2 linked regions of the Kluyveromyces lactis genome follow. The protein of the gene in region 1 interacts with the protein of each later gene in a pairwise test. Links are inferred from orthologs where the notes say so. Each region holds a gene or a part of one and is shown in the gene's direction. Other genes may lie near its edges. The genes, in order: SSM4 and STE6.

Region 1 (7,257 bases):
AAAACTCCAGGTTTACCAGATGACGTAAAATTGGAGGCACTATGCGGGTTATTATTCTTTATTTTGGGTACATTTATCAGTCAATCCAAGCTTAAGTACCTTAGTATTCGTGGGGAGGAACGAATAATTGAGACAGATGAGTATCTTAAACCTATCGAATTGAACAAGGCGTCCAGTACAGATGTAGTGATAAACAATGATCCTTATGGGGAAATAAACTACCTTCCTTCATTTGTTGACATCCATGCTAAGAGGAAACTGTTCAAAGAATACCTTCATCGCAGTTTGTGAGTTGATAAAGATTGGTAACTTAAACGCATACATATATATAATATGTACTGGGGAATTACATAATATAATGACTTTGCAATAATAACTAACGGGAGTAGATACAGGGCCGATAGCCAATATAGGCACTTCACCAATCACATTAGGACGTCAGTTATCATTGTGATTGTACGTGTAAAAGGGATTTGGAGGATCCTGTGTACTCTGTGTACTATTTTGTTCAATGAATCGAGGATCTGATGATGCAGACTGTTTATATCGCTGAGGTGGCGTCATCTTATGCAATGAGTGTGATAAAATATCATTCCGTGTCGCACTTGGGTTAGAAATGCCTTCTATCTCTGCTAATCTACTCATTTTTGCAGATGATTTCAAAAGATCTTGATGTTGCGTCTGTATCTCGCGTTGGAGCTTGTACTCTTCTAAATGTTCTTGTAGCTCGGAAATATCATCGGAAGTCAAGGATAAAACTGTAGGATCACGCCTTAGCATAATGGTTGGTATTTATGCCGATTCTATGTTATAATTCTACGTTATGCTATATAAATTGACATCTTAAGAAACTTGACTGCTTTTGTGTTATTAAATTCGGTTGATGAAATATGATGCGAAAGGAAAAGCAAAACCTTCACATACTATTACAAATGAACGTATCTAACACAATATGACGCACATGCAACTCTAAGATCTCTTACTCGATACAACATTTTACCAAATCACTTAAAGAAGGAAGGAAGGAAGGAATGAGCATATATGATCACACTTGGACAATGTAGTTGACCATACGGCGAGTCAGAATCTACAAATTTACATAGCCTTGTTGGCGCAATCGGTAGCGCGTGTGACTCTTAATCACAAGGTTGGGGGTTCGAGCCCCCCACAGGGCTTTCCATTTTTGTCTATTTTATGAATGAATCCTAGATTTTTAAACTTCTTTTTTTTTATGTCTGTAATTTACAGACAATTTCAATGCAATTCAAATTTGAAAACTTATACGCATAACGATCAATTCTTATGGCATAGAGAAACTTAAACAGCTCAGAGTAGCCTGCTTCTCTTGTATATAATAACCAGCCCAATCATCTCTTTGCAGGTTTGATTTTTCACAGTTGAAACCATAGTACGACCTCTTAGACACAAGATTTTTTTATCCAAGTTTCAAATTTGAACTTCGCAGTACCGGTTTACTAATTGATAAAAAATGTCATCCAGTATGAATGGTGGAGACCACAACTACGAAGATAAGCATGCGGGGAATTTTCCAACTTGCCGTATTTGTATGCTGGAAGGAACGTCCGATAATCCGTTGTTCCATCCATGCAAGTGCAAAGGCTCCATCAAATATATTCATCAATTATGTTTGATCGAATGGCTACAGTCAAAACATGTCGATGTTACAAAACCTGGTGCAGGGATGGTATGTTCGATTTGTAATCATCCAATCGCGTTCCAAACTTTGTATGATGAATCAATGCCAGAGAAGATCCCACTTCTACTTCTTCTGAAACATAGCGTTTTCAAAATCTTTGGCAAATTAAATCACTATTTCAAATTCACATTGATTGCGTTCCTTTTCTTCATTGGAATTCCCCTGTCCTGGAATATCTGGGGGAAGCTATATACGGCTACTGTGGATGATTTTTCATTTCCTTCAAATAACAAATGGTATATCAATTTGATTTATGGCTTTGAAAGAAACATACCAAAAAATCCAACAACTACGGATATTTTATATCAACTAGTGATAAATTACAGATTTTCGTTGTTACAAATTCTGATGGTTTTGATCGTGCATGCTATCGCATATTTACAATATGATATGGTAGTCAGAGAGCCAATTTTCAATAAGATGATCTTGCATAAGATTGGACCAAGATTTTCAAAACAAGAGCTGGCCATGCAGTCATTAAGAGAAAGATTTCCAAATATGGATCCAAATGATATAAGCATGCTCATAAATGCCCTCAATAGACAACGACAAGACGATCCAAATGAAGATGATACTTCAGAAGACGAACAAGAACAGAACAATTTCATCGTAAACGAAAATAATGATGAGCCTCAGCTTGCCAACTAACTATAATCCCCCATTTAAATATTTACGATATTGATAATCTTCATATTGAAACATTGCATCAGCCTTCACTCCAGTTCGAAATAAACTTCTATATACAATATAATTCCCTCGTTGTCCCATCAAATCATTCACTTGCTTTAGTAAAACATGCTAGCCCATTAGATTCTCAAAGATGAATTTGGTATTACCCGGCTTATAATGGAAATTGAAATTTGAAGAAGGAAATTTCAACATGGGCGCAGACAATCAGTATATACATCGTCGACTGATCTCGTTTCACAACTAAGTACAACAGGTTAACAATATTTAATCTTTGCTACAATTGTATAGCTGTTGAAGTTGAATAATTATATCATAGAAACTGAATCTTCAACTTGAGTTTTCCGCATTAGATCCCTGCATTACTCTTTTCTTCTGATCACAATATCATATTTCTTCTGCAACATATTCATATCATTACCAATTAGCTGAGTTATTAATCGACTGTACTTTTAATTCACAATCCATTATGGAAAGACACTTTGCACAAAGAGAACTCGATGGGCGGTTGGATGCTCAACTCGGACGACCTCAGCCTGTTGAAGGAGAAGTACAAGAAGATGGAATAAATGCTCAACCAGCGGTTGTACTAGAGAATGAAGATGGTCAACCTACGGCTATCTTGAATTTAAATCTTGATTACAAATATTTACCGAGCTACTTTTCCTTAGTCTTTTCTGTCATTGGTGGATATCTTTTCATTTCATACGCTTTAGCCACACTTGTCGGATATCTGTTGAATTTCATTTATTTTAGAGTTGTGATTATAATGCTGAATGGAGTAATAGTGTCAGCAGAGAGGTTAAATATCCCAGAATACAATCAAAAGCTTATAGAAACTTTTTCTTTGGTATCCTACGTTGAAAATTGGATTAATGGGACAGTTTTAATGCCAATAGTATCGTACTATCAGGGATACATGAAAGGCACAGCAAAACATACGATGCTGGTACGAATGTTGGCGCCAGCCAGTACATATGCGACTTTCATAGTTCTTTGTTGCTGTATACCAGAACTGTTATCTAGAGGGCATTCCAAGAAGCTACCTCTAAAGAATTCTTTGAAAAGAACGATTTTCAAGTTTTCCTATATCATCAAGTGCACATTGAAAGTGCTAGGGTTGTTTACACTTGAACTTGCCGGATTTCCGATTTTAGCGGGGTTTTTGATTGATGTGTCACTGATCTCACCGCTATTATTACCACAGAGCAGCTTGACTTTCGTACCGAGTTTTTGTTCCTTTTGGCCGCCTATGACATTTATTATTTATTGGGCGATTGGTACTGTTTATATGTATCATTTTGCTCAATATGTCGGCATGGTAAGACAATATATTATCAGACCGGGTGTTCTTTTCTTCATAAGATCACCAGATGATCCTAATATTAAGCTATTACAGGATTCTTTGATATACCCAATGAAACTTCAACTCTCCAGACTTGCATTGTCGATGGCAATCTATACAGCATTCATTTTAGTAGGTTTTGGATTTCATACGAGACTTTTGTTTCCTTACATTTTACATTCGGAACTTTTACCTATGAAGCATGGATTGTCAACTCTCATAAAACCAAATTCTATGTTTTCTATTGCAGTCATTGCTGGAACGTATCTCATTCTCTCGAAGAATAGAGTTATTGATGCTTATGTTAGACAATATTGGGTCTTTGTATTCAATATATGCTGCAGAAAACTAAGACTTTCCTCTTTCATCTTAGGAAAAGATTCACCAACTGAGAGAGGACATGTTATTTATAGGAACTTTTACTATAAATGGTTCGTCCCAAACAAGGCAAAACTGTCCAACCTAGAATTATACTCTCATCCAAAATCGCTCGATGAAACCTATACTCTTTTCAAAACTATTCCTGATGTTCACGCATATTTTGTCCCCGATGGCACCATGATGCGCGTACCTGCGAGCGACATAATATCAAAAAAATATGCACAATTGTTGTTCGTCCCAGTTACTAAGGATGACAAACTTCTAAAGCCATTGGATATCGAAAAAATCAAAGAAAGACAGAAACGAAATGCCGGAGAATTTGGCTACCTAGAAAAACAGCCCACGGAATTTGATGAATATAAGGTAGTTTATGTCCCTCCGCATTTTACTTTCACTTATTCGCTGTTAATTGTCTTCATATGGATCTTTGCTTCCCTTTTGTTTACTGCTGTGTTATTAATCTCAAATTTTGCTGGGCTTCCCATTATCACTGGATTGCAATTATTGTTGAATGCGGTTATCCCCCCAGCAATGAAATTTCAAAATGAACTCTATGAAAGTGTAAAACCATTAAATCTTCTTTCCGTTTCTTCTGGTATGATACTTTTGTCTCTCGCTTTGTCATCCTACCACGCACATCTATTAAATAATATCCATCTAAATGACAGAATATTGGAGGTTAATGCCGAACACAATGGGGATGTTCCAAATAACGGTCCAAACGACGATAATCATCAGCATATAGTTCACAATGATGATAATATTCCCGAAAATGATGAAAATCCAGTAGCCAATGAATTTAGAGTACCGGAAATTGCTGAAGGTGATGTTTGGAACTTGATCAAAGGCTTTGTAACAATGGTGTATCCAGTCTTTACATTCTACTTTATGCCAATCATTTTCAAGTTGAATATCAATTATCATTCGGTCTTCATATTCACCTACTTCAAAGATTTCTACTGGAAAGGCGACGTTCTCGAAAACACAAGCCCTGATATATCGTTTGTTCCATTCCTTTCGAACCTCGCATCAAAATCAGAATACAGCGGCTATTCAGCTTACTCATTAATAGCTGCTCTATTGTTTTGTCAAGTAGCAGCAGTGGCGTACATCGCGGTACAGTGCAGTTTGAAGCGGAATAAAACATTAGGATTCAGAAGATTACTCATTAGGGTCACGGATATATGCTTTGTGTACCTCGTTGCAATGATTGCGGTACCTTTTGCTCTGCAATATAGTTTTTCTATGTTTGAATTCCTTACCCACAAACAAGTTTACACCTCTTCATGGGCACCATTTGTTTATTTCATTTTCATACAGCCTTCTGTCTCGGCAGATCATTCCCTTATGACTACATTTCAAAAGGCATTCTACTACGTTGATGTAGTGACGATTTCCTCGGCGTTCCTAACTGTGAGCTCAATTTTATCCAAGTCGCTTTACAATTCTTTATCTCAAAGTGTGAGAGACGAAGTGTATGCAAGAGGAAGGATACTAAAAAACTTTGAAGAATAGTTTGATCAGTCAAGATGTCTTTATAGATTTATTAGCGAAATTTTTTTATTCAATGAATTATTTTATCTAGTCTTACCATTAAAATTTATTACTTACGACTGGGAAGTAAAATGATGGAAAACAGGATATGTAGCTATTTAGATGCAAATTGATCGAAAAAGCTGGCTTTGGGTATTTTGGGATTTTTGCCGTAAGATTTATTTTCTTTATTGCTGAAGAGATGGACAATTTTCCTTTTGTTATCCTTTCTGTTGGAATGAACTTTCTCAAGAATAGGTTGTACTTCCACAATTTCTTCAACCAAATCCTCTGACGGAAGAGAGGAGCTTTTAGAAGGACTACAGCTGTTAGGTTGATGTAGTTTGCCACCGTCAGATGACGATGATTTACCCAAACTCACGGTATTTGATTCTCGCAGTTCATTGGAGAGTTGTTTCCTTATAGAGTCAGTAGATTTTCCGCCACATTCATTTTCATCATCAGAGCGTGTAATTCTAGAGTCAGAATCTCTCGTTTTATCCACAATTGCACGTGACTGTCTGATCAACGAAGAAACGGTCTGATATTTCCTACAATTCGAATATTTAGCATCACTTGTAACCGCAGTGTTGGTACTCAAAGTTTTCAGCTTCTCATTCAACAGCTTCCCAGGTGAAACTGGCACATTACATCTCTGTTGTGAACAAGAAATGTCATAAACCTTGGACTTTTCATTATCAGAAGTTGAATCTTCAATGTCATCCAATTCCGCCGTAGGACATCGATCCCTAAAGTTTGCCCTATCTGGTGGTTGACTTGAAATCATATCGGCACATGAATCTGATTCATTTCGATGGTCATCATCACTTAAAAGCGCAGACTGATAAAAATCTCTTTCAGATTTATTTCCGAGATTAATATCTTTATTTGCAACACTATTTTGGGATGATTCTGGAACTATAATCAGTTGGTCCTCATGCTTATTATCATTGTTTGGAGTACATCTTTCGATTGATGGTGTGGATTTCAAGAAGTACATGGAAGTCTCGACATTTGGTGTAGGCGCTTTTGCTTTGCTATTCAGATTTGCCTCGATTGGAGTGCATTGCATATTATTATGATTAGGTGGATGATTGGTCTCTCCTGTTTCTTCCATAGTGTCGGTTTCCATCTCTTTTGCCTCAAAATCTTCTATAATCTCCAAATCACTATGATTCTCTTCTATGCTTTCATTCTTTTCTTGGCCCAATGATATCCCATGGGCGGCTATTTGTTGCTTTTGGAGAAGTAATAAGACATCTCTTAAGGTTTTCCTTGCAAAACGGCGTTCTTTCTTTTCAAAGAATTCGTTTACCAGTTTAGAGTGGTTGTAGGACGACTTTGCAAACCACAAATCGAGCGTTTCTTTCGGTTTTTCAAAAAATTTCTTAGTATTTAATATCACATGGACACCACAATCACTCATATTGGGTTGCTGTGGTACAAGGCATGTTCTTACTTTGAGCTTTTCTCTTTGAATATCGTAATTATGAACGTCTCTGCCGTATGAAATAATAAATTCTTTCACAGCGTCCATTAATCTTGAATGCGTTTGTCGTAGAGAATCAAAGACTAAAAGGAATACAGTAGGTAA
Region 2 (7,323 bases), on another chromosome or scaffold:
TTATACATCGTTAAATTCCGAGTGTATATCATTCTTGAAAGACCATTCCAGATGCTATCTAGTTCTTCCTGTGCTTTATGTGTATCCGATGATTCATGATCAACTTCATGATGAGTATGTACAGCAGGCCGTTTCCTTGCCACAGAAAGCGACTGTAATCTGAAAGTGTTGTATCTTCGTATACCAAGTATCCCTTGACGCAACATGGTAAAATCTGGGGTCAGCAGGCCTCAATATGGTGTTTTTTCTATTATTATGCGGATAAGATTATTGTTGGTTTGAACATTTGGATATCCAATTGTTATGAGAAGCTTCAGTGTAATTATCAAATAACATTAGTCATTTTGAGTATTATCCATAACACGTCCGTTAAATGTTCAATAGAAGGTCATGGTAAGTAGAATACTTACCGTGGGCAGGGTTGATATTAAACAGTAGGCATCAATAGGAAGTGATGAAATTGCATCACGTGTACAGGAGCACGCAAACATTAGTGTCTATGGTCGTCAAACTCACTTCAGATGCTTGAAAATTGTTTCCAGCCCCTTTGGCCAAGTGGTAAGGCATCGCACTCGTAATGCGGGGATCGTGGGTTCAATTCCCACAGGGGGCAAAGAAAACCTTTTTTTTTGGTCCTTTCCCTGTGGAAACCAAGGTATGAATATATCCAGCTAAACTCGGTTTAACTGCTCAAGATAATCCACTAGCAACTCCTGGTGTCTCGCTCTTTAATATTGATCGTTTCCTTTCATTCAATACAGATAGAACTATTTAAATTGATAGGTAGTGATAAGTAATGCCAATATTTACACAGACATAAGACATACAATGAACACCCGAACCCGACGTAAGAATGTGGAATTGGCTTTGTAACATTTACTCTGTTCAATTGCCCTTCTTGTTAGCATCTTCAGCTGCACGCTTGGCATAAATCTTGGCAGTGAATGGCTCTTCGAATCTTAATGCGATGTTGTACATCACGTGAACAACCAAAGTGGCAATCAAACCAGCAGGTTTACCGTTGTACAATGCGTAACCAAGGAAAGTGAAAGTAGAACCTTGGTACATTGGATTATCGAAATAGTTGAATGGGAAGCTGGTCACACGGTGGTCCATTAGAATACCGAAATAATCACCTAGATAAGTACCGGTGATCCCCAACTGGTACATAGAGCTTAAAACCAGCAATTGACCAAATGCGATATATGCGATACCGACATAGGTAAATTTGTCACCAGTCATCATGGCACTGACTGGTTGTTGGCGCAATGCAGATTCATAGAAATAGTCTCTGATGATACCCAAGGAGAAAATTGTAGCTGCTAGGAAATAACATCCTCTCTTAGCGGAACCAGCGATCTTAGTCAAGAAATGGGTGCTGTGTTCCAATCTGGCAACGACGTTCCAGAAGATTGGGTTGAACGCAATCAAACCTAGAGCGATTGTATACTCTCTAGATTCGAAATTGGTTAGTGTGACGATTTCATCACAGAATCTCTTGAAAAGAGAAAACTGATTGGTAATATAAGTTTCGATATCCATTTCTTCTCGATAGTTCCTAGCTACTGTGACAATCAAATGTAAACCAATTGATTCAACCTTTTAAGTGACAATAGCTGTAAAATGTTGCGAAACTGAACAGCAGAATGTCCCATCTTTCTTTGTTCTTCCTTCTTTTATATTCCCTTTTACTAATTGCATGTGAAATCCAATCCTTTAAATGTCTGGTAAACCGCAATTTTCAAGTAAACAAACTAACAAACAAAACAAACAAACAAACAAAACAACCGCTGAAGGGCTAAGAATACTGCAAGCAAGGTGTGATAGACTAGGATGTGTGGACTTAAAGCTGGTATTTTTGATGGTAAAATGAAGTACTGATGGACTCTTGTTTTTGTTCTGGCTTCGAAGCTTTAAGTTTGATTCTAGTGCTTATAATGGTGTCTATCAATGTGTCAAAGTAGACAAAAAGGGTGATAGGTTTTATGATCTATATATGGATACTTCATTGGAAACGGTGCTTGCATTTAAAAGGCTGCTTTCAGGTTGTAGAGAATTGGATATTGGAACGGTTAAAGTTGCGGTATGCTGAGAGAAAGGAGAAGGACGCTTCTTTGCGCCTATGTGATTGCCTATTATGGTAATTACTATGGAAGTTACATCAAACAACTGAATAACACAATTTCATTGATGAGGCTTCAATATCACATTGGGCTATTTGACGCAATTGAGGTTTTGGCCCATTGGTATAAATGAAGATCGTTAGATATTGGATTTTTAGTTACTCGATGCCTTCTATTCATGCGTTCAGTGATATTAAAAAGAGTTAGAAACTAAAAGTTTAATAACGACAAAAGGCCACTTATGTTAGACATCTATCAGAATTTTAGGTTCAAGAATGATTGTTTCGTTTTGATTGTCACTGCAGTTTCAACGGTCGCTAATGGTTTAGTTCCAGTTGTGATATCGATTTTAACTGGGAGAGTATTTAACCTGTTACAATCTCTCGGAACTGATACTTACAAAACGAAATCTGAATTTGTTCACGAACTTACGGTAAGGTCATTCTCAATTGCAGCTGTGGCAGCTTGTGTGATTCCAATATCATGGGTCTCCTTATCGACCTGGATGACTTTAGGAGAACGACAGGGTTTCAGAATTAGAAACTCTCTCATCATGTTTTACTTCGAGAAAGATCTAAAATGGTACGATTCGAATGAAAACCTGGAAGGAGATTTCATCCAGATTAACAGATGCATAGAAGAAGTTAGGGCAAGTTCTGCCGAAGCTTCAGCAATTTTCTTTCAAAATGTCATCTCAATTATCGCTCTAATCGCTACTTCAATGTACTATTCGTGGTCTTTAACATTGATAATTTTATGCAGTTTACCACTACTGGCAACTCTAGCCGTTTTCCTCTCTATGAAAGTGGAGAAATTCTCAAAACTTGAGAACTTGGAATCTTCAAAGGCCTCGTCAGTTTTGGCATGGTCTCTTGATGCATTTCAAATGATACGGCTATTCAACACGTCTTACTGGGAGCAGAAGAAGTTCGAGACGCTAGTATCCAAATGTAACAAACACTTTGTCAAATCTTGCTTATACTCAGCTTTGAATGCATCGAGTTTAAGGTTTCTAACACTATGCATGTTTGTGCAAGGTTTTTGGTTTGGTAATACACAAATCAAACGTGGGAAGATGAAAGCTGGGGATGTAATTACATGTTTTTCCTCTTGTTTATTGTTGGGGTCTTCCTTATCAAGTACGTTGCAGCAGATCGTTACAATTCAAAAGGGTAAGGCAGCAATACAACGTATCAACCAGTTCCTTGTTCCCAATTCTAAGTCCGCCGTTGGTGAATGGGAAAAACGAAGTTCTCTCATATCAACATCTTCTTCAATAGGGTTAGCACCCATCTTTTGTGACGGTGATATTGAATTTAGGGACGTATCATTTGCGTATCCTACTAGACCAGATGATTATGTACTAAAAAATGTTTCCATAAAGATTAAATCTGGAGCTACATGCTTCATTGTTGGGAAGTCAGGGTCAGGGAAATCGACGTTAGCCAGTCTTTTACTGAAAATGTATGGCGAATACACCGGTGAGATCAAGTTCGGTGAATACGAAATAGACTCACTTGATGACTCCTGGTTAGTAGAGAACATTACATTAGTGGAACAAAGGTGCACATTGTTCAATGGGACATTAAAAGATAACTTGACGATTGTCAATAAATACGCATCATGTACCGAGGTAAAGCAAGCATGTCAATTTGCTTTACTAAACACTGTCCTGTTAAATCTGCCGAATGGTATTGATACACTTTTGGGCAGACACGGTGTGACATTGAGTGGGGGTCAGCAACAAAGAGTAGCTCTAGCCAGGGCATACCTGAGAAATACTCCAGTACTGATTCTGGATGAATCTTTGTCAGCCTTGGACATAATGTCTAGAGAGTTAATAGTGGAAGCTATCAGACATTGGCGAAAAGGGAAAACTACTATAATCCTAACTCATGAATACACTCAGATCAAAGATGATGAATATGTATATTTGATGAGCGAAGGAACGGTGGTCGAAAGTGGATTCAAATATGATCTTCTAGAAAACCCAGATTCGTACTTTGCACAATTAAACAGTCTACAGGAGACAAGATATGAAGTACCAGTAAGTCCAGATGTAGAACTACCTTATTCTCCTGATAGTGCTACCTATAATCATCAACCAATATCAAGATTTTCACGGTTTTTCTTCGACGCGAGTGCGCTTGAACCGCATCTTCCCAACACATCAAAATCAACAGATCAGTTAGATAACAAACGCGTTGTGTCCAGAGTTCAACCCTTAGACATAGAGAAAGCCTTACAAGAAAGAGAATGCGATTTAGAAGAACAAGGCATACCAAAAATCTTGACGCTTTCTGCTATTATGAAGAAAATGAATAATTCAATACCGAAGAGGCGGTATTTGGTACTGGGATTGCTATTCTCTGTTATTGCTGGTATGTCTAATCCACTTTTCTCCTATACATTCTCCAAGTTGTTGACAGGAATTGCACCACAAGATACAGGCACCAGTTCCTCATATTATCTGATGAAGTGGTCACTAATTGTGATCAGCATATCAGCTGTAGACGGTATATCAACATTTTTGAAAGACTTTATACTTGGATATTGTAGTGAAGTCTGGATTGAGCGGTTGCGAGTCGACGCAATGGCAAAAATATCATCTAAATCTCTAGACTGGTTTAAATTACCTACGAATAACTCATCTGAACTCAATTCCCTCATGATGAATGATCTTCGAGATCTAAGAGGCCTTGCCTCTGAATTTTTGAGTGCTATTACTACACTGGTTTTTGTAGCATCTATTGGTTTGATCTGGGCCTTAGTCTCTGGGTGGAAACTCAGTCTTGTATGCATCTCGCTATTTCCAGCCTTTATTTTATTCTCCGGTATTTATGGTTCATTGCTTCAAGTCTACGAGACTGCCTATAAGACAGAAATCGCAGAGCTTGAGACAAGGGTTCATGAACTTGTCATATCCATGAAAACTATCAAACTCCTTCAACTACAGCAACATTTTGAGGGCTCCTTCAAAACTCAACTGGCGAAAGTTAGAATAGTATGCAAGAAAAGATCAGTTGCTGTCGGATTTGGGATAGCTGTTACAAATGCATTAGCTATGGTTGTCCAAGCTATTTTATTCTTTTTCGGAATAAAATTAGTAATTCAAGGTGAGTATTCTGTAGCACAAATGTTCGAAACGTTTACGTTACTTCTTTTCTCCATTATGACTTGTGTTTCTTTGATCAACCAAGTTCCTGAAATTAGCAGAGGACAAAGGGCTGCTACATACATATTTAAGGTTCTAGAAGATTCTGGCTCTGTTGATACATCAAAACCTGATCCCTCACAGAACCAAAGCTTCTTTAGCACAGCGGGCAACAGAGAGACGATTAAGATATCTAATCTATCTTTTGCCTTCTCAAGCGCACCGATGAATAAAATATTCAACTCGTTAAGTTGCGAGATCTGTCTTAATGAAACTGTCGGGATTGTTGGCGAATCTGGTTCTGGAAAGTCTACCCTATCATTATTGCTAACAAGACTCTACCCTGTACCTAGTGGGAAAGTTTATATTGGTGGTATTGATATCAATAAATGGGATGAGTATGCTTTAAGAAGAACCATTTCAATTGTGGAACAGAAGCCAAAATTCTTTGATGGTACAGTAAGAGAAAACCTGGTATATGGTCTCAAACGTAACGTTTCAAACTCTGAATTAAGATCAGTTTTAAAGTCAGTTGATTTACTATCATTTGTACAAACCCTACCGAATGACTTGAATACGCGCGTTCATGATGGGTTAATGTCCGGAGGTCAAGCCCAACGATTATCTATCGCCCGCACGTTGTTACGCCAGCCGAAAATCATCATACTAGATGAATGCACATCTGCACTGGATGCAGCTAATTCATTTGCAATTGCAGAGCTCATCAGGACTGTTCTGAAGAATGTTACGGTGATTGTTATTACTCATTCAGAGCAATTGATGCAAATTTGCGATAGGGTTCTTGTTTTGAAAAAAGGGAAAGTTAAAGAAGAGGGATCCTATGCAGAGCTCTTCGAATCTAGAGGCGAACTATACCGGATAGTTTCGTGCACTAGATATTAACAGAGGATTTTAAATAACGATTGATTCACATGTATGATTTCTTCTAAGTAAGTTTATATCATTAAGCCTAGCATCATAGAGATAGAATTACGAATTTACATCTGGTATCAGACAAAATTAGAATCATTACAAATGGACGGTGACATATGGAACCTCCACGTCTTCACCTTCCTTATCTTCACAACAGAATTCCAAAATCATGGTCTTAACGTGACTGAGGATTTCCTTCTTCGTGACTAATTTTACAACCTCAGTTATTGGAAGATCCATTCTATCCTTTAGTTTTTTTGGAGGGAAGAATGATGCGTATAGTAAAGAAACATCGTAGGAGACCATTGTAATTTCCAATCCTTCTTCCTTGTTGAAGTGATCAATCAACTCTCTTAATGTGATATCACCTTGAATATCGAATCTATCCCATATTTTATCGAAAGTCTTATCATTGTATTTACCCTTTTGTGATGCGATTGGTTCTGAGAAACCGAAAAATGGAAGAGCTAAATTCACAAACCCGTTCTTGTATTGTTCAATATCTGTCTTTCCAGCGACGACTTTGTATAGTTCTAGGTTGACCAATCCTGTAACCAAAGCAGTGGTTGTAGCGATGGCAGGAATGATACGGCCAGCAATGAACTTAGTCTTTTGACGATCAGCTGGTTCGATAGAGTAGTTTAGAGCACGGTTGTTCGATGCAGCAGTAATGAACTCAATATGATGGTTTGTATCGTCATCCTTTTCAAATTCAACTGGGATTAGTTGGAAACCAGCTAAGGTAGAAGCATCTGGCAAAGAAGCTGCCAAGTTTTCTAAGACATCGCCACCAAGCTGGTTGTTCGCGTTTGGATCTGGTTCATCGTCATTGGTTTGAATTTTGATGTCAGCTTTTGGAATAAATTCAGGAACTATAAGCTTTGATAGGACGGATTGATAGTAGTTAATGTCTGGTTTACCATCATCTCCCTTTAGACCATAATTGAACGCACGCAAGTTAGCAGATGCAACGATGAAGTGGAAGTGATCTGGGTTTTCGATATTGAAGACTAATGGTTCAGGGGCACGCTTTGGACCAGACCAGAATGGCTCCCCGGTGGATGTTGTTGCATCCTTAGGGAAGTTGTAAAGAAACTGTTGGATATCATAACT

The links.
Region 2: the proteins of SSM4 (region 1) and STE6 interact in binary tests that used the Saccharomyces cerevisiae proteins (3 or more experiments, as listed by UniProt). The link is inferred for Kluyveromyces lactis from reciprocal best matches to the Saccharomyces cerevisiae genes SSM4 and STE6.

The regions. Positions count from the first base shown.
Region 1 is NC_006042.1:2,564,678-2,571,934, reverse strand, and holds SSM4 (E3 ubiquitin-protein ligase SSM4), read left to right. Parts: upstream 1-2,873; coding exon 2,874-5,645; downstream 5,646-7,257. Other genes in the region: EMC5 (Emc5p), read left to right, coding at 1-291; anaphase promoting complex subunit CDC26, read right to left, coding at 439-780; KLLA0_F27709g (uncharacterized protein), read left to right, coding at 1,490-2,365; SUMO protease ULP2, read right to left, coding at 5,779-7,257. UniProt on the Saccharomyces cerevisiae protein: E3 ubiquitin-protein ligase which accepts ubiquitin specifically from endoplasmic reticulum-associated UBC6 and UBC7 E2 ligases, and transfers it to substrates promoting their degradation.
Region 2 is NC_006038.1:1,246,290-1,253,612, forward strand, and holds STE6 (ATP-binding cassette a-factor transporter STE6), read left to right. Parts: upstream 1-2,364; coding exon 2,365-6,180; downstream 6,181-7,323. Other genes in the region: KLLA0_B14190g (uncharacterized protein), read right to left, coding at 1-206; OPI3 (bifunctional phosphatidyl-N-methylethanolamine N-methyltransferase/phosphatidyl-N-dimethylethanolamine N-methyltransferase), read right to left, coding at 886-1,542; E1 ubiquitin-activating protein UBA1, read right to left, coding at 6,307-7,323. UniProt on the Saccharomyces cerevisiae protein: STE6 is required in yeast MATA cells for production of A-factor pheromone. STE6 is involved in the transport of the farnesyl-derivation of the A-factor pheromone.